Linked DNA regions of Drosophila melanogaster. The protein of the gene in region 2 purifies or fractionates together with the protein of the main gene of each other region. This does not show direct contact. Each region holds a gene or a part of one and is shown on either strand. Other genes may lie near its edges. The genes, in order: Hel25E, thoc5, PCID2 and Hpr1.

Region 1 (6,769 bases), on a different chromosome or scaffold from region 2:
TATATACAGTTCAGCAACTAAATGAATGTTTCGTTCTTGCTTGAAACCACGCCTTTTGTCTCTTCTTACTTTTAATTTTATCATTACTCTACTTTCTTTGCCCTACAATTATAAGGTTTTCTTATCGATTCAGTTTCCACGCACTTACCCTCAGCAGTGGTGCACTCCTTGGTCTTCTTGTCCAGCTTGTTCTTGAGCTCCTCGTTCTCCTCCCAGAGACGCTTGATATCGATCTCGGCACGAGCGCGATCCCTAGCTGTGTCATCGAGCAGACGGCGCGTCTCCAGCAGCTCGGCCTCGAAGATGTTCTTGATGTTGGTGGTCTCGCGTGTGACCGTGTCCCTGGTGGTCTGCACCTCGATGGTGAGGCGGGAGTTCTCCGTCTCCAGGTTGCGCACCCGGTCAATGTAGGTGGCCAGGCGATCGTTCAGGTTCTGCAGCTCCACCTTCTCGGCCACGCGCGAGTGCCGGGTGGGGCTGAGGGGGCTGGAGGCCGTCTGCGAGTGAGTGGACGGCGGCGGCGGCTGCGGACCCGCCGATGGCGGCCGGGGGGTGGAGGTGTTGCCGGGCTGCGGCGTGGCGGTGCCAGCACGTCGGGATTTGCTCGACATGTTCACGCTGCAAGACAAATGAAATGTGCAGAATAACACGTGAGATTTTTGTGACTGACCTCTTTAGGACACAACACTTGAAGAAAAGTTGAATAACACAATTGCGTGCCTTCTAAACGCGTTTTATATGCAATACTTATATTTGAACTTTTTCGTTCGGTGTAGGGTATGTTATTTTTGCGCCCTGATAAAATTCCAAACAGAACCGAACACGAAAGAGGGGAAACGCACAAAACGCTCAAAAACAGAAGCTAAACGAGTTTCTCTAACGCGCTCTCTCTCTCTCTCGCAGTCTCCTCTACGTCTCACTCACACACACGCACATCGCTTTCCACTCAAGCGACTGTACTAAAGCGGACGAGGAAAACGAAGTGAGTTTGTCGGCGTTTGTTTATGGGCGTGGAGGCAAATGGCGCGGCTAATACTAGTTTAATCAATCGCAACGCTTAGCTAATCCAGTCGACGCACTTTAAACGATTTGATAAGGAGCCAAAAATTGCACAATATGGCGATTTTAATTCAATATTTACAGCGACTTTACACTAATACAGGCAGGGGGGTTATTTCGATTTTGAGTGAAACAGTGCCGCCTCTATTGTTCGGCACTTAATCAGTTATTTCAACTTTTTCTACAAGTTTTCCTAATGCTCGTAGATAGCAGCGCAACTCACCTGACTTTTTATAACGAACGGAAAATGCACAAATTTGAAAATGAAGTATCTTGCAGCAGGAAAACGCGGCCGACGCTGGAACGTGTAATCGAATTTGTTGCGATGGTTTCAGAGACTAATCGATAACTTTCCGGCATGCCTGGTGTGACCAAACGCCGCGCTAGATAAAAGACTAAGAACCGCTTGACCCCAAAATGATAAAAAAAAAATTAAATTTAAGCTCAACAAGCCATTTTAATTTAAAGCGTTAGAAGGCATATATTTTATAAAAACTTTTTAGTTGAAGCTTACAAATGGATTTGTTGTGCACAACTATCGATAACTTAACGATATCACCCGGCTCAGCTCGCATGAGTTCTTAAACGTACTTCGGTCACACTGCTCTGCGCTGTTTTTTCCTCCGCATCACGTTAAAGATTTTAAAATAGTTAATTTCACTTTAAAAGCTGTATTTTAAAGTGATAAACGTGCACAAAAGGTGAGTTTGACACTGAAAATCACACTGCACTAAATAAAATCGTCGCTTGTAATGGGTATTTCGTTTTATTTCGAAATACATGTAATGCGGTGCGGTGAAAAAACAAAATGGCGGAGGGAACGCCGGCACCGGTTCCGCAAAAAAAAGCGGCATTTTCTTTAACAAACACATGTAACTTATCTAGTCGCACCCATTTTATTTCCCAGCATTTAGTTGCGAATTTATAGCCGATAACTAGTTAAAGGTAAGAAAGCCGCAGAAATGGCCGACAATGACGATCTTTTGGACTACGAGGATGAGGAGCAGACCGAGACCACTGCGGTCGAAAACCAGGAGGCCCCCAAGAAGGATGTCAAGGGCACCTATGTGTCCATTCACAGTTCCGGCTTCCGCGATTTCCTCCTGAAACCGGAGATCCTGCGCGCCATCGTGGACTGCGGCTTCGAGCATCCCTCGGAGGGTGAGTACTTGCACTCCACCTGGAGTGACGAAAGGTACAGTCACTAACGATGCTCTCCGCTTGCAGTTCAGCACGAGTGCATTCCGCAGGCCGTACTGGGCATGGACATCCTCTGTCAGGCCAAGTCCGGCATGGGTAAGACCGCCGTCTTCGTTCTGGCCACGCTGCAGCAGCTGGAGCCGTCGGACAACAACACCTGCCACGTCCTGGTCATGTGCCACACCCGCGAGCTGGCCTTCCAGATCAGCAAGGAGTATGAGCGATTCTCCAAGTACATGCCCACAGTCAAGGTGAGTCTACGTTTTAATCCATTGTATATAATTCAACAAAAAGTTTGGTTCGACTATATAGTTACTATATATTAATTCGATATGTTTTCTATTTAGGTGGCTGTCTTCTTTGGCGGAATGGCTATTCAAAAGGACGAGGAGACCCTCAAGAGCGGCACCCCGCATATTGTGGTGGGCACCCCTGGCCGAATTCTCGCCCTCATTCGCAACAAGAAACTTAATCTGAAGCTTTTGAAGCACTTTGTGCTCGACGAGTGCGACAAGATGCTGGAGCAGCTGGGTAAGTTGACTAATAATCACCAAATGACGGACGTTTTACTAATAACCAAACCATTCTTTTAGATATGCGTCGTGACGTTCAAGAGATTTTCCGTAGCACGCCGCACGGCAAACAAGTGATGATGTTCTCTGCCACATTGAGCAAGGACATTCGTCCCGTTTGCAAAAAGTTCATGCAAGATGTAAATATCAACGTGTTCATAACCAAAATGCTCGTACTTCTCCACCTCGCATCCACCGCTATCACGACAATTAGTTATTATTTTGTTAATGCCACGCGATATCGAACATTCGATCTTGATCCCCTCCGTATAAGCCAACCACCATCTTGCAAATGGTTAAACGCGTACAACCAAACGTCCAGCGCTCTGTGAGCATAACTCGTATCGAAAAACTTAGTTAATGACTATCGGACACCATTTTCTAAATGGTTAATCGTGGAAATTGGCAACCGTTGCAAAAGCATAAACAAGCAGTAACCGCTGAATGAATCAATTGAAATCGCAAAAGATTTAACAATACCAACGCTAGCAAAAACCAATACCTAAATAAAACTACAAGCAAACAGCAAAGATCCCGCCGACTGGCCGATGAGACGAGTTGAATCAATCCAGAGCGAATGCGATGCGATAGGCCCGCTCATCTGTAATCCGCACACTTCTCAGAGCGATCATCGATCCTCGGGAGCAGTTCAGAGACTAGTTGATGAGATGTGGTGGTAGCGTGGCCGTATGTAGAATATTCTATGCATATTGTTGTATGTTCCGAGGCGAGCCTAGTCTAAGTTCGATTTCTCTGTACCCCTCCTAATTGTGTCCTTTAAAATGCGCCACATTCTATTTCCCAAATCCAGCCCATGGAGGTCTACGTCGACGATGAGGCCAAGCTGACGCTGCACGGACTGCAGCAGCACTACGTCAATCTGAAGGAGAACGAGAAGAACAAGAAACTGTTCGAACTGCTCGACGTGCTCGAGTTCAATCAGGTAGGTCATTCGGTGGTCTTAACTTATATTTACCACTTACTTGATTATCCCTGTCATAGGTGGTCATCTTTGTGAAGTCTGTGCAACGTTGCGTGGCTCTGTCGCAGCTGCTGACGGAGCAGAACTTCCCCGCCATCGGCATCCATCGTGGGATGACCCAGGAGGAGCGTCTGAATCGCTACCAGCAGTTCAAGGACTTCCAGAAGCGCATTCTGGTGGCCACCAATCTCTTTGGCCGCGGCATGGACATCGAGCGTGTGAACATCGTGTTCAACTACGACATGCCCGAGGATTCCGACACCTACTTGCATCGCGTGGCCCGTGCCGGTCGCTTCGGCACCAAGGGACTGGCAATCACATTCGTTTCGGACGAGAACGACGCCAAGATACTTAACGAAGTACAGGATCGTTTCGATGTGAACATCAGTGAGCTGCCCGAGGAAATCGATCTCTCTACATACAGTAAGTTGCAATGATGAGTAATCCCCAGCCACCAGCAGTGCTAACTTGATTTTCTTTTCCAGTTGAGGGACGCTAGAGCTCGAAGGTGCATGTTAATCGGAACAAGACTATGCACTTCGAATAGATACAAACCTAAAACCTTTTTTAAAACTCTACTTTATAACTAAATAAAAACTATTCAGACAATGTGTTGACAAACAAAAACGGAATTATAAGTAATGTATTTATTTTGGGAATGGATTCTAAAACCCACTTGTTTCACATTTCCGTTTAAACTATTTTATTTGTGAAAATTTCTGGGGCATATTCCCTTAAATAACTTAGCAATATTAATGTGTACAATATTATAAATCAACTCACAATAAAATGTCCAAAAAAAATAACAAACTCGCATATGCTTTAATGGTGAAATGGTAATTGGGAACTCGCTGGGCATAGTTTAGTGTGTCCGTTTCAGGACATGCGCAATGGCCAGGAACTTCCGGCAGCTGCATTGCGACAGGAAGAGAAGGGGTTGTGGGGTGGAGGTACGAAAAACTGGGGACGAAAAACAACGAGGACGTCCAAACAATGAGAGAAAATGCACGCTTGCGAAAATGCTGCTAAAAAAGTATGTGAAAACGCGGCGTAAGCTGAAGATTCTACTCCTGCTGGCCATCGTCGCCCTGCTGGTCATCACCATCATAGTGCTGGGCTCCAGCGGACGCAATGCGGCCATCGAACTGCTGCTGGACGAGCGATTCATCGCACGCGCCTACAGGCCCGGGGATCAGCCCCAAGTGGCGGAGAAGCCGCCGCCGGTGGCCGTCGCGCTGCTCCAGCCGCAGCGGGAGAACGGAGTGATTGTGCCCGAGAAGTATGACGAGCAGAAGATCAAGGAGCGCATCATTCAGAGCAAAATCGATCTGATGAAGCAGCAGCAGCAGCGGGACCACGAGGCGGAGCAGTCTGTAAGTTTCCAGTTCAGTCCAAGAAGGTGGCCAATCTTAGTCCTTAAATCTTAAAAATGTACACTTTGTTCAGTCGCGTACCACTTTGGATGTGGTGATCAGTGCAGTGCACATATTCTACACTGCCCCGGTGCCGTGGTACAAGTCGAAGAAGCCGCCTCCGCCGCCAGCGGAGCACCCAAACGATGTGCCACTGACCACGCCGCGACCAGTGCGAATCCTAAACACCGCCTTCTATCCGGCACTGGGTCTGTACAAGCCCAGTGGCTCGCTGCTGGCCCAGCATTTCGAGAACATACGCAGCTGTGGCATCGGTGTGCTCATCCTGAGCTTCTCCGGTGGCAAGCCCGCGGAGGCGGCACTGCTGCATCAGATCTTGGAACTGGCACCGCAGCACAATCTTAGCGTTACCTTTGAGCTCAGTGTGGCCGGGAATCAGAGCGTGGAGTTTGTGCGCCAGCAGCTGCAGGAGATTGCCACATACACCAGCCTAGCTGGATTCTACAAGGTGTGGAGTCAGTCGAGAGGTGTCTCCCTGCCGGTTCTCTACGTGAGCAATGCCTACAAGTTGAGTGATAGTCTGGGAAGGCTGTTGTGTCGATCGCCTTCGCTGGTGGAACCGGATGGTCTGCGGAGAATTCTGGATGCCTTATTCATTGGACACATAAGGTGGGGTGCGCCTTAGATTATCCTAGGTGATTCTATATATCCTTTCGTTTCTCTCCAGGCTCAAAAGCCATGCCGATGTCCTGCGGAGGTTGTGCTTCGATGGCTTCTACAGCAAACTGCCCAGCAATGGAGCTGTCTTCGCCAGCACTTGGAAGAACTGGTCGTATCTGAAGTCATTTGCGCTGTCCTACAAGATGCTCTTTGTGCCCACGGTGGGTCCGGGATTCGCGGAGAGGAACAAGTTTCCGCGACACGGAGACATCCAGCGGCATCGCAGCAATGGACGGGTGAAGGAGCAGCCATCAACTGGAGTGCCAGAACAGGCTACTAATACTAATATCATTTGATCTTGCAGTACTATGGCGTGGCCTGGCGGACAGCCATTCTCAACCACGTGGGCTTCATCAACATAGCCAGCTACAACAACTGGCCGGATGGCAGCCAGATCGAGGAGGTGATGCCACGCGCCGGCTTCCTCGACTACAATCCGGGCTCGAGAACGAAATATCTGGATCTCACGGCCCATTGGGTGGGCAACTTTCTGAAGACGCGACAGGAGGCGGCGGCAGCAGCCTCGCCAGCATCGCCGCCCAACTGTTACGAGCTGCTCAATGGAACCATATGCTAGGAGCGCACCAAGTGGGACTAGTTAGGAGCGCAGCGGAGATAATCCTAGTTACTTTAGAAGCAATAGCAACGATTGCAGGCCACTCAATTACTTTCCAACTGTTAAGAAGTCTTCTGCTGCACACATTTACACACTGCATAAATATATCGTTTTGATAGTGATATTTTTGAAAACGCGCGCCCAAATGTCGAGTTTTTTGGCGGGAAATGCAACGCACTTCATTCCAATTACATAAGTAATTTAAGTACTAAACGCCAATCAAAAAAAGAGAATTTTGAGAAGAGGT
Region 2 (5,976 bases):
TGGTTATAAATCGCTCCACGGCAATGTTCAGCAGGTGACCTATGTTCCCAAAAGTGGACATGATCTGCTCGTTATCCATATCACGAACTCGAAAGCGTTGATTCTGGAGAGGGGAAGGAGAGCCCACATTGGCAGTTGGTTGGGTTTCAAGGCCAATCAATAATCGCTGAGGACTAGAACGGAAAGTTATCCCGGACAGCCGGTTGGGTACTTACGTTAACAGTTGATTGAGTGATTCCGTACATTTTGGATAGCTCGGTTACCGATAGAAAAATTGATTATACGTAGTTTAAGAGTATCCGCAAAGCGAGTTTCAGGCATGCAGCATTTTTATTTACTTCCTATTGATTTTTCTCAATACTAGGGCTAGCAGAGTCGAGTAGACATTGCAACTAAGTCGAGAATTTGGCACTCAATAATACGGTCACCGATTAGCGCGTCATAGTACGAGGCTCTATGGGTTTAAGCTCAAATAAAAGTCGATTTTTCAGCCAGCGAAAGCTCCTCAGCTCAAATTAGTGTTATATAGCTGGGTGGCTGTAAACAACGTGTTTACCTGCAGACAGATATATGTGTATGCCCCCAGATTTGTGTGTGATTCGAGCTTGTAACAAATTGGTCTGCGCAGCAAGTCTGCGCACAAAACCATTTAGTACTGTAAAGTGCAACAGTTTCTCGTCAAACGCCTCCTGTGGGATTCGATGCGGATGCGAGTGCCTGGATTCGATGCTTGTTGAGGTACCAAACATTTATCAGAAGAACAACCAAGAAAACCGCATAAGGCAACTCCAAAACCATGTACTTACATAAATGAAAAGTGTTTGAGATTATTGCACTTCAAAAAAGAGACAACATATTTCATGTAATAAGCTTGAAACACTAAATTCAAACCAAATAAGTTATATTTTCCATTTTCATGACTTCCGGTTGCGGAAGTTAATTTGTGAAACTAATCCGGCATGACAACCCTGGACAACGGGAGTTCCCCTAACATCCACACTGGCACTCGCAGCTATTGGGACATTACACACAGTCTGGCCACACTGCAGCCCAACGACCATATGATTTTTGCCGAGTATTTTATTTCCAAATGTTGTTACCTAAACACGAGCACGTCAAATTCCTGAGGGCCGCAAACGAAAAATAGCCAGGATCTAAGTTCAATTTGAATGGTGTGATCTGCAGACGAGGCAGATCTGAATCGAGGAAACCCAGTTCCGGTGAAGGAAGTAGCACACAAAGTCCTTGCAAGATGTTGCGAAATTTCGGGATTTCATCAATAAGAAGGAGCAGCTGGATGGCCAACTGGTGCTCCAAGGAGCGGGCGTGGGCGTCCGCCATGCGGCTAAGTGCGTCTGCGCCGGCGAAGTGTCCACAAAAGTTGTTAAACAGCCATGCCGCCAATAACCTCCAGCAAAGTCGAAGGGCCTACGAGAGCACCAAAGCGGAGAGGCTGCCCGGGAACCCTAAGGAGAACGAGCGTAAGCCCGAGGACCTGGATAGAGCCTACGAGGTTCTGAGGACCACGCTACCAAAGCTGTTCGTGGAGCCCCTAGACTACTCCATTTACAGCCCGGGCCTAATCTTCCACAACAACATAACGGGCAAGCACACGGTGGGCCTGTACCACTACGTCAAACAGATCGCCATCCTGCGAACGGTTGGCCACCTGAAGTACGCCTACGTGAAATTCGAGGTGCTCAAGATCACGAAGCACCAGGACGACTACACAGTGCGGATAAGGTGGCGAGTGCGCGGCATTTCCGGCCTGAAGGTCATGTTCCAGTTCTGGAAGTACAAGCTCTGGCAACTGAAGGAGGTGCTGAAGGATCAGGAGGCCTGGTACGACGGCTACTCTGTCTGCTATCTGGGCGACGATGGGCTGATCGTCAAGCACGTCGTGGACAAAGTGATGCCGGACGAGAGTCGGGAGGCGGTTGAGAACCCTTCTGCGACGGCACTACCTCCCGGATCCTTGGCAGCGACCTCTTCCCAGAAGATCAACTGCCAATGAAGTCGTAGCTAGCTAGCTTTAAATGTTACTTATTTATTGTATTACTAATCGTAATAAACGCAACTGTGAGAACGTTTAGTAACCGCATTGGCGCATTGTGTTGTACAACATTCGTTATTCAACTGTCACTGCTTGAACGCGTAGACCGATCCCTTCTTGATGTATTTGTAGGGGCGTGAGCGGCTCCGCTTGGCGAAGGCGCTTATGTAAGGCTTCTCCTTGTTGTACTCAATGGTGTTTTGCATGGATCCCTCGGTTTCGAGGAATATATCGAAGCTGTAGATGGTGCGGAAGAGCTGCGCGTACAGGATGCAGTCGTTGGGCTCCAAATGTTTGGGCTGCAGGGAGTTGGTCCAGAACTCCATCATCTGAGGAATACAAGTTTAAAAGCTAATTGGAGGATAATACCTGAATAAGTTCAAACCTTGATCGCCGAATTGTTTTGCGCGGTAAGGCATCCGTTCCAGTGCACATTCAGAATCCATAGAGGCATTTCCAGTGGATAGTTACTCGGTATTCTAATAAAGCACTCCATTTTGGCCGATCCCCGGACGATGACAGCGCGGTAAGAGTTGTACGTAATACCCTTGTCCGCTGACGAAGAATTCAGTGCGTCTGAAATTTGCGAGTGAAGCTCCTCATGTGTGATGGCAGTCCATTGGACGAGACTGCACGACAGGCCGGCTGGATAGATGTTCTCCTGCAAGCTATACAAATCGATATCCTTGAAGGTCAGCCCGCGAATCTGCTGGCTTAAACGCTGCCAAGAGTTCAAGCGCCTGGCAATGCGGTCAATAATCTCCTTGTTGTTCTTATTCAAGTTCAGTTCGTGTTTGTACAGCATCGAACTGTTGACGGTTGCAATCGAGCACATACTTTGCAGCCAACAGAAGGGTTTTCCGTAGTCCTTGGCCTTGAGGTAGCGCACACATTCCTCGGCTGTTAAATCCGAGCTTCGTAGCTGAAAGAGCGTAATTTAATTGGTTGTCCAACGTTGGATAAGGAAGTTCTTACCTCGTATTGGATTCCCGGAATGGGTAATTCATTGCCCAAGTCATTGGGGTACAAATGCCGCAATAGGTGGTGAACAAAGTTTGTGTCACTGTGAAAAAATGCCTAGTTATTTATGCGATTTTTTCCTAGGTGTGTTCCAAACTTACCCCTGGCCGTTGGCATTCCTGGAGCAGTTAAGTTGGCCCCAGACAGTGGCACACTTGATAAAATCAAAGTAGCGAATCTGCAAAACGAGCTGATTCGATCCAGCCGCTCCAATCTTTAAAGTTTAGGTTAATAAATGTTTTGGAATGAGCAAACCATGTCATCCTACCGTCAAACAAATGTGTAGTGGGTGAGGAGCGAGTGAGTCGTCCAAGTTGTTTTTATCGGCAATCTTTTCCCGGTCTCCACTTTCCTTTTTAGTCTGTCTGTAGTTCAATGTGGAGCACTTTTTCTCCTTAAGCAACTCCTGCATTTGAGCCTCGCTCTCATAGCCAACCACCTCGGCGGTGAAGGACTGCTCCTCGCTGACCCGCTGCAGCGATTGCAGGACAATGAACAAAACGTAGAGCGGCTTGGGCAGGTACTTGACCACTGCGCTTAGCTTCCATTCCACGTCCAGGGATAGCTGGAGTGCATCGTGCAGCGGCTTTGTGGCGCTCTGCAGAGTGCGCAAGGCGGGTGCGAAGGAGACGTACCGCTGGGCGTGGCTAAGATTGTCCTGGAGCAGTTCCTGCTTGGAGCTCAGCAGGGCGCTGTACTGCTTGTCGAGTGCCTTCCGCAGACGCAGCTCGCAGTCGAGGCGATGAAGGTGCTGCTTGTGGCTGGACAGCTCCTCCGCGTCGTTGGGCATGTCTGGCAGCTCGCTGGAGTACTCGGCTTCCGAGAGCAGCTCCAAGCTGGTGTCCCTGCTCTTGAACTTCTGGCAGCGCACAATCTCCTTCTTCAGGTGGCTCACTTCGTACAGAAGATTCTGCAGCTGCAGCCGGCTGAGGTCCACCTTGCACTTTTCCAGGTGCAGCTTGTCGCGCCCCGCTTTGATCTTGTGCTTCACCTCGCGGTTGGCGTGCTTCAGAGCCACGAACATCAAGGTGGTGGCAATGCGAGCCTCATCCGTCGATTGCCCCTGCTCGTGACGGATGTGGACGGATTTAGAGCTGTACTCTGGCACGGAAATCGGACTTACCTTGCTCTTCGCCTCCTTAATTCCCTCTATGGCCTTTTGCAGCTGATCGAACTGCGTGTTCAATATTGTTTCCATTTTATTTGGCGAAATTGTAAATCAGAAGCCGCAAAAGTTGTTTTTATTAACAAAACTGATATAATGTGGCCAGGCTATCGAGTCGATAACATTCGCCGGTACTTTTCAAAATGATTTTAGTATATGCGCATACCCCACTGCTGCGGTCACACTTGGTAGCGGCTTTGTAAATATAGTTAAAAAACAAAATATATCCTTTAATATTTGCTGTAAGCTTAAGTTAATCTCTCCAAACTTGAAATAACACAATGCTGCGATTGCTCCAGAAGAGAACCAATCTCATAAAGCTAGTAGTACCCGGCCCCCGACTTCACCAGACGATTGCGCAAACAGCGATAAAGGTTGCATTAATATCCCACTGATTACATATAAAAATATGTTTTTATTTATAAAGTAATATTTGTTAATGCCGCACCTTTCAGGAAATCCCAGTGATAAAGCCCATCAGCACTCCGAAAAGCGACAAGACCGTCGGAAGATGGTTCCTGGGAGTCAGCGGCATGGTCTTCGTGGCCGTTGGTCTAGGTAACCAATAACAAAATGTAAAGTTTGTAGTTCCTTGCGAAAGTGAATCTCTTCCAGGCGGAGTAACCCGACTGACAGAGTCCGGACTGTCCATGGTCACTTGGAAGCTGACGGGTGAACGTATGCCCCGAACCCAGGAGGAATGGGTGCAGGAGTTCAATCTCTACCAGCAATACCCAGAGTACAAGCTGTGAGTACTCCCCAGATTCATCCAACGCCAGGAACTACATGCAAACTTCTGCTTTCAGAAAGAATGTGAATATGACCGTGGAGGAGTTCAAGTTCATTTTCATGATGGAGTACATGCACAGGATGTGGGGTCGTGCCATCGGCGGGTTCTTCCTTTTGCCCGCTGTTTACTTCTGGAGAAAGGGATACTTCTGTGCGAAGACCAAGAAGAGCGTCCTGCTGCTGGGCACACTGATTGGCCTGCAAGGTCTGATGGGATGGTACATGGTCAAGTCCGGGCTGGAAGACAGGTTCCAGGATCCCAACGACGTGCCACGGGTATCCCAGTATAGATTGGCCTCCCACCTGGCAGCTGCCTTCGTCCTGTACTCACTCTCCCTGTCAAAGGCCATGTCCCTGCTCATCCCCACGAACACATTCGTGATCCAAGCCAAGAAAGCATTTAATATCAAGGGGCTGACGCATTTGACGAAGGCAATGGTCCTGCTGACTGCCATTTCTGGAGCCTTTGTAGCCGGACTAGACGCCGGACTCGTGTACAACTCGTTCCCGAAGATGGGCGACAAGTGGATTCCCGATGACATGTGGACGTTTGCGCCCATACAGAAGAACATCACCGAGAATCCGACGACGGTGCAGTTCAATCACCGCATCCTTGGTATTAGCACAGTAACGCTGACCACCGCTCTGTGGCTGGTCACCAGAAGGATGCAGTTGCCCAAGCGCGCCAACTGGGCCATCAACGCCGTGGTGGCTATGGCCTGGACGCAGGCCACGCTTGGCGTAACCACCTTGCTTAACTACGTGCCCGTGCCTCTGGCAACGGCCCACCAGTCGGGCTCGCTTATTCTGCTGAGTTTCGCATTGTGGCTGTCGCACGAGGTTCGACTGTTGAAGTACCTTCCGAAGTAAATAAATAGGCGTTTATTTGTTGAACCAAAAATTTAATATCCTCGCCTTGATAATAACAACTATGAGTGGGGCAAATGTA
Region 3 (5,074 bases), on a different chromosome or scaffold from region 2:
AGAACACCCTAAGCGCTTATAAATTGTTTTTTTTTCCCATAGGAACTGAAGCGTTAAAATCCTTTTAATTTCATATGTGCAAATATTTCTGTTTCGCATACTTCAATATTTTGTGAATGAAGTCTTTGGGAGCATTATTTTGAATGAGGATGACCCCACTTACCCCGTATCACCCAGGCCGTGCATGAAGATCAGCTGCAATACACAAGTGATTAGTCGAGGGCTTCCGGAATTTGGACTACGGCGGACTACTCACCGTGGCGGTTTGCTTGACCGTGGCCTCGACAATGACCGGCGCAGCCATGTCTGCTGTTCAGTTTAGCCTCTACTGGGGACGCACTATTCCTATTCCAGGTACTCTGCGATTCGGCGACTTGGCGCTGCTTTCGTCGCTTTTTTCGGTGTCAGCGGATTTCTGCAATGCAGTGAAAAAGAAACACTTTGTAGTTTGCGTTTTAGTTATGTCACGTTGTAAACGCAAAGCAAAATTAGTAATATTGATTTTACGATTGCGAAAATGACAACACGTCGCCGGCTGAGAAATGGTTACTAGCTAACTAGATCTAATCTTCGCCACTTGTCTTATGTACACTTTGCGCGAATGAGGCTCTAATCATTTACCAGGTAATACCACAAGTATTGTGTTAATTTGTTTAAATTCGCTCAACTACGACAATTCATGCAGCTGCGTTCCAAAAAGTTCAGAGATGAGTGATAGTCGGTGGACCTAGAGATGTGACCGAAACCGATTCCGCTGTCGATACATCGGTTCGAGCACAAAAATCGATATATATCAATTCCAAAGTTCGATTAAGTTTAAAAAGTGGTATTAGTTTAAAACCGTTGAAAAATAAACATATTTATAACCAAAAATTATATTATTAGTTCATAAGTTGATTTGAAACATATAGGTTTCGAAAAACCAAACAAAATTATAACCAAATAGAATTGAAGGTACTTTAAATTCAAAGTCTTCAGGTCTTATACTCATCGTTGGTGCCCTCCATTCACATGCCCCATCCAGTAAACTAATACACTGATTAAATTGGATTCTTTTACTCTTAAAAATTCACAATAATTACAAAATGCACTAAAGGGACACTGAGGGGAATGGATTTTGCTTCGACACGACCAGTTTGTTGTGAGCATGTGAGATGTACCCCTTAATCTTTCCATCGTAAATGAGATTGGCCACGATGCAGTGCGTCTCGTCCAGAGAAACATCGGTTAAGCCAACGAAATGCAAGGCGGAGAGGAAGTCACCCATGTCCAACTGATGCGATTTCCGGATGACGAACACCTTCTTGAACAGGTTGCGATACACGAGGAACTTGAGCTTCTCCACCAGCAGATAGATACCACTCCTGATCAGCACCAGCTCCTGGTCCCTGACAATCTCATCAAAGCGATTCACATTGCCAGCCTTCATGGCCATAGCCAGATCGAGAAACAGCAGGAGATCGTAGCGCTGCAGTAAGGATTTGCTGGGCAGATATCCCAGCAGCATCTTCACTGGCACCAAATAGATGAGGATGAGCCTCTTGTTGCTGGCAAACCGATCCGGGCAGTTGCTAAAGGCATACGACAGATACTGTACGGCTGCCTGGTAGTTGGAGTCGAACATAGCCCGTCTACCTACAAAATACTTGTAGGTAATTTGCTCCGGCAGCGGAAAAGAATCCTTGAAGATGCAATTATCGATGGCACGGATAAGGGGCTTGCACAGATGCAACTTGTTGATTCGAAAATAAATCTTGAATAGCTGGTTTACGAGGTTCATCATGCCCAGACGCTTGGTGTCCTCCTCTGAAGCTCGTCCATCAGCGGCACAAACGCGGAAACAGGCCATTATGCAGTCGGCAGCCTTCTCCAATACGTGGCCAGGTGTGAATCCTTGACAATGCTTCTCGCAGGCCTGCGCCAAGTACCTTAGATCCAGGCACACGCGGTACATTAGTGGCAGGCACCAATTCTCGTCCTTCAGCTGCTGCAAAAGCCTCACAACGGCTCCGCAGGCTGCCGACTGTTGGGTGTAGGCTTCCATGTAACCAGGAGGCTCCTGTGCCAGGTGATACAGCACCTTCAGGTGGGCGGACACAACTTCGTCCAGTGGCGGTTTCAGGAATCGATCCACCAACTTTTCCGGCTGGGCAATGTACAAATTGTGGTTCTGAACGTGCACGTCTCGTAAGGAGAGATACGTGGCCAAGGACTCGCCATCTAAATCCTGGGCGGCGTGCAAAACGCCGGATAAATAGTTATTTACGGTGCCGAACATTGTTTGTGTTTTTCGCAGGCGGCAAAATTAGAGATGGTAGGTCAGGCACTATCTGCGAATGCGATGTTTTCATCGGAAACTTCTATCGATTGTCTTTGTTTTTTATAACGCGATAATACAAAGAATATTTTTTCAAAAGTTTTTTTTTTAACATTTTATTTTATTTTATTAAAAAAAGGTATTTATTTACATTATACTCGGTTTATAAAATAAAACTCTGAACGCAGAAAAAGAGTTTTTTGTTTTAAATTTTAAAATTTCCCTCTGCAGCGAATCGATTATATTCCGCGAAGGTCTTTTGCTTGCCCAAAAGATTCTAAATTTAAACAATTTTCGTACATATAGTTGTGATAGCAGAGCTGTCACAAGACATGCTGTTTCTAGCCAGTTTAATAGGCCTTTGAGTATAGTTCACTTAGTAAATTACAAATTAAAGCTTTCCAAAAACGAAGCCAGTGCAACAACATATTTCACAAGGAGCAAAAGGATTCAAACATGTCGACACCGAATTTTCTCTTGAGCAATGGTAAAAATATGCCTATGTTGGGTCTCGGAACTTGGCGGGTAAGTACTTTTACATAGATATATATTGTTATTAAATAATAGCCAGCTGAAATGTGCATTTCCACTGCATATTTCACGGTCAATGTCAAAGCTCTTCGGGGTCAAGCAAAAGCTTTTGATGCACCTCAGCTTTTTACGTTTTATTCGCCATTTTAGAGCCCGCCGGAAGTGGTGACCCAAGCAGTAAAGGATGCTATTGATATAGGCTATCGCCATTTTGACTGCGCTCATATCTATGGCAATGAGGCGCAAGTGGGAGCTGCTCTCCGGGAGAAAATGGACGAGGGAGTGGTCACACGGTAAGTGCTGCTTTCAGGCCTAATCAATCGTTTATCTAAGCCATAAATACATATTGCACTGCAGAGATGAACTCTTCATCACGAGCAAACTTTGGAACACACACCACAAGCCGGATTTGGTGCGCCCGGCATGTGAGACAAGCATAAGGAACTTGGGAGTCAAGTACCTAAACCTCTACCTGATGCACTGGCCCATGGCCTACAAGTCGGGCAGTGACAACCTATATCCCACGTGTCCGGACACCAATAAGGCCGCATTCGAGGACATCGACTATGTGGACACGTGGCGTGCAATGGAGAATCTGGTGGACGAGGGTCTGTGCCAGGCCATCGGTGTGTCTAACTTCAATGAGCAGCAGATGAATAGACTTCTCAGTGTGGCCAAGCTTAAACCGGTAGTTCTTCAAATCGAGTGCCACCCGTACCTTAGTCAGAAGCCATTGATTACGCTGTGCTATGACAATGCCATTGCTGTGACCGCCTACAGCTGCCTGGGATCGGGACATACGCCCTACGAGAAGCCCGGCGCTTATCCACTGCTCCAGCATCCGACCATCTTGGCTATAGCTGAGAAATACGAAAGGACTGCGGCACAGGTGCTCCTACGCTTTCAGACACAATCGGGTATAATTGTCATCCCAAGATCAGTAAGCAAACAGCACATGTTGGACAACTTTAAGCGAATCTGGGACTTTGAGTTGGCCGTCGATGACATACAGGCCATTAACGAATTGGACTGCAATGGGCGTTTTATGACCATGAAGGCGTAGGTGTTGCTCTTTTCATTTCCTAGGTTTTAACTTGAAATATCTCGAATCTTTCTATTTTTCTCCTAGGGCCTATGGACATCCTCATCATCCATTTGAACCCAAAGCCAAAGTAGATAATTAATATTAATTAATATTAGAAGTACAAGTAGTTATTTAAACTGATTGCCTTTAATGTGATAAGTAAGATTGTATGCGGCGATCTGCAGAGTTATACTGATGATGTCCAGGTACTTCCTTTATACTGAGAAGTCTAGCATAATTATTGTTATACAATATAATAATATAATATAATTAAACTGTTTTGCTGTGTGTAAAATCGAATTGTAGCCTTTGAGTTGGTGGGCATTTTAAGCTGTATTTAAAATGTGGCTGTTTATTTTTATATACACATTTATTTTGCTATTTTTCATTTAGGCTTCAATACTAAAACCAAGTAGCCATTGCATTCCATCCGTCAAGAAGTCTCTACACAAATAATTAAAATTTACTGGCGTGCAAAATGAACACTCTAATGAAAATTCAATTGGTTAGGCCTGTTTTTCGCATTACGTTGAGGAATTATGGGAAACCAGAGCGATTTATGTGGTAATATATAGGAAAATCAAATCGAACAAAGCATCAAAAGTATAATTTCCACAAATATTGTAGGTGTCAGAAGGAGTATGCTAGAGCTCCCAAGGTGGTTTGCTTGGACGGAAATGAGATTCCAGTAATTGGGCTCGGAACTTTCAATGTAAATATTATGACAATGTCTGTTTTTTCATATCTATGCCATAGTTTTGATAAATAATCATATTTTTACGAAGATATGGATATAAAAATTTTTACATAGCGATCATAAAGAGCCTATATGGTTGAAGGGCTTTTGAAATTTTATAGCGATCATAACATATGTAAAATGATACATTTTAGTATCATTTATTGAAATCATTAAATGTTTTAATTGATTTAGTTTAATATATATTTTCTTTTATGCTATATAGAGAGTATATCAGCACTCGATATTTAAGCGTAACTGACGATCGCTCAGCTGTTCGGCTTGTCGACTATGCAGCCCTGTCCTCCGAAAGCTTTTTAGAATTTCGAACAAGCTTTTGCGGTGCGTATATAAGCGGTTAACAGCTGAGTGGAATCGCTCAGTTTGTTGAGAGGCGGCAATCGTT
Region 4 (6,452 bases), on a different chromosome or scaffold from region 2:
ATCGTCCAAAAGCGACTCTTCTAAGACTCCACAAATGGACAAAACCCGTTCCCAAAATAGCTTAAGGTTGTCGCTTCTGTTGTCTAGGTATAGCTAGATTAAGCTTAGCACATGACCATACCTTGTAAGCACAGCTCCTATATTTATATTATTTAGTGATTTGCCTAAGTTGTAAACGTGGTACAGCCAAAGACCCTAGAATAACAAGATGCGTAACGCCATACGATTTTTTGGCACACGATTTTTTGGCCGTGGCTCTAGAGGTGGCTCCAGGCTCTCTCGAATTTTTGTTAGAGAGCGAGAGAGCGAAGAGCGCTACAGCGAACAGCTCTTTTCAACGCACAAAGTGATAGCAGACATCTGTATGTGTGCACACGTATTCACATGCATTGTAAATTTGACAAAATATGCCCTTCACCTTAGAAGTTCTTTGGCTTTAAATCTATATTATTTTTTATCAATTGGCACCATGCGAAAAATTCTTGTTTTGCATTGCCTTAACGTTATTATTATTTGAAAATAGATTAGAAATAGTCAAATCTATGTACATATTATCACAAAAATAAATTTCAAAAATGAATTTATATAAGAATATTTGTCATTAGAGTATTCATCTTGCGGCGTGTGAAAAATTAATAAGGCAATGATTGTTGAGTGCTTGTGTCCGCACTTCGTGCCTCAAGATATGAACAAAGCAAAGACACTAGAATAATTCTATTGTCTTTGATATTACTTTTGCAATTTAATTTAATTGCATATTTAATTATTTAGTATATTTATTAAATCATTTGACTTAATATGATGTAACATTAACATTAAAAGTGTTTCAAAAAAAATATTTCGGTTTTAAAAAATTGTCAGATGAGAGACAAATTAGAATTAAACATAAATACAAATGTGTAAACGGTAGCTAATTCGAGCGGCGATTTTAACAAAGAAATTTAAAAAAGCTTTAAAATTATAATAGCCAGGGCGCGAATTTTTAAAAATTTTTTATTTTATCATATTGCTAGGAAATTGGCAAAAACTACCCTAATATGTACCATGTAAATTCGTTTCTTCGATCAGAATTGATTTCGGCCCGAAAATCGTCTTCTAGCACAACACGCACACTTATACGCGTTCTCGTCTCTTGTTTTTACTCACACAAGCAAGCAAATTATATTTTTAGATTTCTTACGCTCTAAGCGGGAGTGAGCGGAAAGAGAGTAATTTTGGCCGTCACCAAAAAAGTGGCTGCATAGTGCCAAACCAATGTATGGCCGTTACGCATCTTGTTATTCTAGTGTCTTTGGTACAGCCTAGTATAGTATGGTAAATGCAATTTATTTTTATTTAGAATATATGAGTGTTGTATATGTAGATAAAAATGTTAAGCAAGTTAGTAAGGGCACCTAGGCACTCCTCCGGGGTTTGTGAATCCGTTGGTGTTGACCAACCTGCAGATGTCCTTGTATGACCGCGCCGATTTTGCAGGCCTTTCTGGCTGTGGCTGGGAATAACCTCTGTTGTAATAGTCAGGATAGAACTGGAACCAAGAAGGCCTGTGGTAGTTGTAGTCGGGAAAAAATTCTTTAAGCACAGAGCTGCTGCAGAATCTGCTTAGCCCCAGAATCCACAGCAGAATGTATATAATCGACTTGCGCATGGCCACTTCGCCTGAGCTTAAGATTTGGAATAAAGCCGTACCCGATTCTCATTGTATACGCCTGGCGCACTTATGAAGCTTGTGCGACCTCGCACACAGTGGGAAAGTAATTGGAATCTGAAATCTATGCGTGATTGTCGGAATAGCTGATAGCGGGAGTGTTCGCGTGCCCCAGCTCAATGCTATCGTTATCTACAAACCATTCGGCCTTTAAATTGATGTATGATGAAAGTTTATTCAATGTGTGGTTTTTGACGTTTAATAAGAAAAATTCGATTTTGAGAAATGCATTTAAAATGCAATTTTTATTTATCGCAGTGAAGAATAAAATAATATATTTTTTCATTATATTTGTTACCAATTTAACAAAAATATTATGTAGTTGCTTTTTTAAAAGTCTTTCGGGTCAATAAGAAAAAAAAAGCTTACAAACAGAGTATTATGTTCTAAGGAATAGGACCTAAAAACCCTCATTACCTAATTGGTGTTTCAAAAACAGGTTTATGTGGTGCAAAAGGACAAATTTTGCTAACAAAAAAAAAAAAACACTTTTTTAAAAAAACTAACTTACAGGCGCCTAAAAAAAATTATAATCGATTTGTCATCGATTTTTTGGTCTTTAAAGTACTATAGCGGCGCATTATATACTAACCAAAACGAGTTGGCAGCACTCGTGATGTTTTGATTGAAAAAACAAATTAGTTTATTGTTTTTATCTGTTGTCGCCAAAAATATTATTTAAATCAATATGAGCACCGCCGTAGAAGTGGCTAACACGGCTCCGGAGAAGTTGGCCAACTACTTTGCGCTACAGTCGGCGTTTGAGGTAAAACGTTGATGAATGGCCCCGAAACCGGCAATGTTCCGATCTGATAGAAAATAATAATTTTCAGAAAGCCCTTGAATTGGCCATCACCGACGGCAAAGTGGAGCTGTTGGTCAAGGAGTACAATAGATTCCCGGCCAACACCGAGCACGACAAGCGCTTACCCATGGACCACGCGTTCCGCGTGCTCCTGATGAAGCGGCTGGACGAAGATGTGAGTCGCATTGGAGAGCTTGTACGCCTCTCCGTGGAAGCCACGCGGGCCGAGATTGTGTCCAACACCATACCCGTGGTTCTGCTGATCGACACCTTCGACGTGGTCACTCTGGACAAGTGCCAGAAGATATTTCAGTTTGTCGAGGATATGGTGGAGGTGTGGAAGGAGGAGATCTTCTTTTCCTCATGCAAGAACAACATTCTACGCATGTGCAACGACCTGCTGCGTCGACTTTCGCGCACCCAGAACACCGTCTTCTGTGGCCGCATCCAGCTTTTCCTCTCAAAGTTCTTTCCCTTTTCGGAGCGGTCTGGCCTCAACATCGTCTCCGAATTCAACCTGGACAACTTTACGGAGTACGGTCTGGACAGCAAAGACCACGACGAAAGCGACAACAAGGAGCTGGAGGATACCGCTGAGGACATCCCCCTAAAGATCGACTACGACCTGTACTGCAAGTTTTGGTCGCTGCAGGACTTTTTCCGAAATCCCAACCAGTGTTACAATAAGCCGCAGTGGAAGATGTTCCAGATGGTAAGCAGTGGCTTGGCACAATTACAATTGTAGAATATATATATATCTTGGAAAGAGATCAAAGATGTTTGCCAGCTAGCTTGCTCATAAATATTGGTTATTAATAATCCTGCCCCATGTTGGTTCATATTCATATATTGTTACTTTCCCCTTCCAGCACGCTGACAACATACTACAGTCCTTCTCGAGCTTCAAGCTGGAAGACGTGCGCCAAAGTAGCAACGAAAATGCGAGCGGTACTGACCAAGCAATGGATGTGGACGAGGAGGCAGTAGACACCACGGCGGTGTCTTCCGTCATCAAGGCGAATCACTTCTTCGCCAAGTTTCTAACCAATCCCAAGCTTTTGGCTCTGCAGCTCTCCGACGCTAATTTTCGACGTGCTGTTCTGGTGCAGTTTCTAATTCTATTTCAGTACCTGCAAGTCAGTGTAAAGTTTAAAAGGTTCGAATATGAAGAAAGTCCAGGGAAAACGAACAAACTTTAATGATTGTACTTTCAGTGATACTCAAACCTTGACTGCAGACCAGGCGGACTTTATCAAGGAAACAGAGTCGCGTGTTTATAAGTTGCTAGAGGAGACACCACCGTACGGTAAGCGGTTTTCACGGACAGTGTATCACATGCTGGCCCGCGAAGAGATGTGGAACAACTGGAAGAACGAAGGCTGCAAGGAATTCAAGAAGCCCGAGGAACCAACTCTCAGCGAAGAGGACTCGAAGCCAACTCCCAATAAAAGACCGCGCCGTCCATTGGGCGATGCACTGCGCGATGCTTCCCGCAGCGGCAAGTTTTATTTGGGAAAGTAAGTATCGAACGTAAGTCAAACTAAGCCAGTTCTAAAATATTTCACTTCCAGTGACAACCTAACACGTTTGTGGAACTACTCTCCAGATAACTTGCAGGCCTGCAAAAGTGAACAGCGAAACTTCCTACCGCTGCTGGAGACATATTTAGAAACGCCGCACGAAAAGGTTGATCCCGCTTTTGAGTGGCGAGCTCTGCGCTTGCTTGCCCGCCAAACACCGCACTTCTTTACGTCGCTCTCTCAGCCATCGAGCAAGATCTCCGATTATCTTGAGCAAGTGCGCAAACGTCTCATCCGGGACAAAGAGCCCAAACCTGCTGCCCTTTTATCGAACAACTCTTCTGAGAACAATTTTGGCCTGTCGGTCAACAACGTTCATACGGAGGGCGAGCAGGATGCTACGGTCGCCCTTCAGGACGGTGAACCAGAGCAGGATCTTGAAGTAGAGGACAACGAACCTGTGGTGGAAGAGGTGGATGAGGTACCGGCGCACGAGAAACCCCTTATGGTTACCAAAGAGCATATCGAAGAGGTGGCGCCCCTTATAGGCGAGCCATGGATGAAGGTGGGAAAGAAGATTGGCTTCACCAACGATGAACTTCTCTTCTTTCAAATGGAGCATCCTACGGCGAACGTGGCCTGCGTTAAGATGCTGACAAACTGGATATCCGATGACGACGACGCCACCCTGGAAAACTGGGCGTACATGCTAGAGGGATTGGAGATGAATAAGGCCGCCGAAGCGGTGAAGGCGATTATTGAGCGCGAAAAATCTGGATCCACTGCCGCCTTCTGCCTCCGGTAACGACGATGAGGTGCTCTCTGATTAGCATCATCCCCATGCCGATCCCACCCTAGTTATTATAATTTCGTTTCAATCATAAAACTTCTTTATCACAAGTAAAAGAATGGGCGAATATCTATTCCCAATCACCACTCAACGCCTCTTGGCCGGCGGACCGTTACGGGGCTTGTTGTGCACCATGTTAACGCACTTGGGGATATGACGCTCCGCAGCCTGTTCGTTGAATCGGCGACCACAGTGGGGACACTGGACATAGTCTGGATTCTCCGAAGGTGGCGGTGGTGGCAGGTCGCTCAACTTGCCGCCGCGCGCCAAGTGCGCCTTCACCTGCTTGGCCGCTCTAATCGACTGAATGAAGTCCTCGTGCTTCTTACGCCAGTTGTTCTTCTTCACTCCAGTGGTCAGACCCTTCTGCTGGGCAGCACTACTGTAAGTTGAACGGTTGCGATTGCCCTTCGACTTCATATTGAACGCCGCGGCCTCGGTGCCCTCGATCCGCTGCTTGGAGGCATCGAATATCTTGCGTTTGGTGGTCAGCATGCGCTGGCACACCTCCTCGTGCTTCGCCAGACGATCCGTGTTGAAGTGGCGTCCGCAGTAGCGGCATAAAGCGGTGCCCTCTGGGATTGCAGTCGTTGTGTCCTGGTAGCGAAGGGTAATCTTATTATACGCCCACTGCCGACAATTATTCTGCTATACTCACCATGTTGACCTTTTTAACTGGTGATTTGGGTTCCGCCTTGTTGGAAACAGACATTTAAAATAAATCCCAAATATGTTTAGCTTGAGACTGACACCTCCGTGCCACGTCGATGCTACTTACCCGTCGAACAAATGGTGGCGAAAGACGACCGGCTGTCGGGGCAGCACCGGTTCCTCCACTTACTCGTTGGGTCGCCTGAATCTTGGGACTGCGTTGTGGCGCGGGAGAACGTTGGTGGAGCGTGGTCTCCTGGGCCGGCGGTGTCTTGCGGGTGACCACGGGCTTAAGGTTGCGATTCAAAGTCCCGCGGGGCGTGGCGAACTTATTGTTATTGCTGTCACTAGTGATCCTCCTGCCTGGTGCATTTGGTGCATCCCGCATGGTCAAGTCGGCCACGCCCTTGACGAGACGCTGCATTGGGGGCTGCGGGCGAGATTTTGTTTGGGCGGGTGGCGAGGGCAGAGTGCCGATCGGCTTGAGGGGATTGCTGCGATCAATGCCCGCCCCGCGGCGGCGCTCGTCGAACATCTGGCGCACTTTCCCATTCCCGATCAACCTGGTGGTGGCGGCACTGGGTGCTCCAGTGGCCAGGTTCTCGGCACTTGACTTCGTGCTCATCAGCTCCCGCCTACGCACCTCCTGCTCCTGTTGCGTGCGCTGCTGGAAACGCATCTGAAAATTGAAGCACATTTGTTGTAAATAATTCGCTTATAATTTTCAAATCAAAACCTAGTGACCTTTTTAAAATAAAAGACTTTCCATTCAATTAGCCTTTCGTGAAAACCGAAAACATTTAAAATATCAATCATCATTTAACTGATTGCTTTGTAATTTCACCCTTTTTAATTTTCAAAAAAATGTTTTCTGTTGCAAAATGGAATTCAAAATTGCTTTCTTTTTTGGCTTACGGG

What was found.
Region 1: the proteins of thoc5 (region 2) and Hel25E purify together in Drosophila melanogaster (affinity purification with western blotting; 2 studies listed by BioGRID, with this or other methods). This does not show direct contact.
Region 3: the proteins of thoc5 (region 2) and PCID2 purify together in Drosophila melanogaster (affinity purification with western blotting; one study listed by BioGRID). This does not show direct contact.
Region 4: the proteins of thoc5 (region 2) and Hpr1 purify together in Drosophila melanogaster (affinity purification with western blotting; 5 studies listed by BioGRID, with this or other methods). This does not show direct contact.

The regions. Positions count from the first base shown.
Region 1 is NT_033779.5:5,537,174-5,543,942, reverse strand, and holds Hel25E (helicase at 25E), read left to right. Parts: upstream 1-1,628; 5' UTR 1,629-1,760; intron 1,761-1,944; exon of another isoform or gene 1,945-1,973; 5' UTR 1,974-2,021; coding exon 2,022-2,220; intron 2,221-2,286; coding exon 2,287-2,510; intron 2,511-2,606; coding exon 2,607-2,790; intron 2,791-2,852; coding exon 2,853-2,971; coding exon of another isoform or gene 2,972-3,163; exon of another isoform or gene 3,164-3,642; coding exon 3,643-3,774; intron 3,775-3,833; coding exon 3,834-4,236; intron 4,237-4,298; coding exon 4,299-4,312; 3' UTR 4,313-4,617; downstream 4,618-6,769. Other genes in the region: Lam (lamin), read right to left, coding at 149-611; CG14015 (uncharacterized protein), read left to right, coding at 4,833-5,186, 5,260-5,855, 5,914-6,142, 6,211-6,483. UniProt on the Drosophila melanogaster protein: Required for mRNA export out of the nucleus. Probable RNA helicase that may regulate entry into mitosis by down-regulating the expression of other genes whose activity may be rate-limiting for entry into mitosis during embryogenesis.
Region 2 is NT_033778.4:23,952,459-23,958,434, reverse strand, and holds thoc5 (thoc5), read right to left. Parts: upstream 4,345-5,976; 5' UTR 4,272-4,344; coding exon 4,197-4,271; intron 4,137-4,196; coding exon 3,342-4,136; intron 3,288-3,341; coding exon 3,175-3,287; intron 3,117-3,174; coding exon 3,029-3,116; intron 2,976-3,028; coding exon 2,439-2,975; intron 2,383-2,438; coding exon 2,140-2,382; 3' UTR 2,029-2,139; downstream 1-2,028. Other genes in the region: alpha-Catr (alpha-catenin related), read right to left, coding at 1-103, 216-245; CG16787 (uncharacterized protein), read left to right, coding at 1,253-2,014; CG3803 (uncharacterized protein), read left to right, coding at 4,520-4,612, 4,694-4,796, 4,854-4,986, 5,045-5,897. UniProt on the Drosophila melanogaster protein: The THO complex is required for cell proliferation and for proper export of heat-shock mRNAs under heat stress.
Region 3 is NT_037436.4:11,623,684-11,628,757, reverse strand, and holds PCID2 (PCI domain-containing protein 2), read right to left. Parts: upstream 2,318-5,074; 5' UTR 2,279-2,317; coding exon 1,091-2,278; 3' UTR 1,043-1,090; downstream 1-1,042. Other genes in the region: Apt1 (Acyl-protein thioesterase 1), read right to left, coding at 164-195, 257-304; CG6083 (uncharacterized protein), read left to right, coding at 2,774-2,842, 2,999-3,141, 3,206-3,907, 3,978-4,032; Akr1B (Aldo-keto reductase 1B), read left to right, coding at 4,411-4,496, 4,560-4,644. UniProt on the Drosophila melanogaster protein: Required for the export of nuclear mRNAs and involved in mRNA trafficking in the cytoplasm.
Region 4 is NT_033777.3:5,817,277-5,823,728, reverse strand, and holds Hpr1 (Hpr1), read left to right. Parts: upstream 1-2,288; 5' UTR 2,289-2,396; coding exon 2,397-2,474; intron 2,475-2,541; coding exon 2,542-3,225; intron 3,226-3,382; coding exon 3,383-3,669; intron 3,670-3,727; coding exon 3,728-4,030; intron 4,031-4,084; coding exon 4,085-4,838; 3' UTR 4,839-4,935; downstream 4,936-6,452. Other genes in the region: Sec20 (secretory 20), read left to right, coding at 1-24; CG46303 (uncharacterized protein), read right to left, coding at 1,382-1,648; CG42675 (uncharacterized protein), read right to left, coding at 4,971-5,480, 5,542-5,577, 5,662-6,213, 6,450-6,452.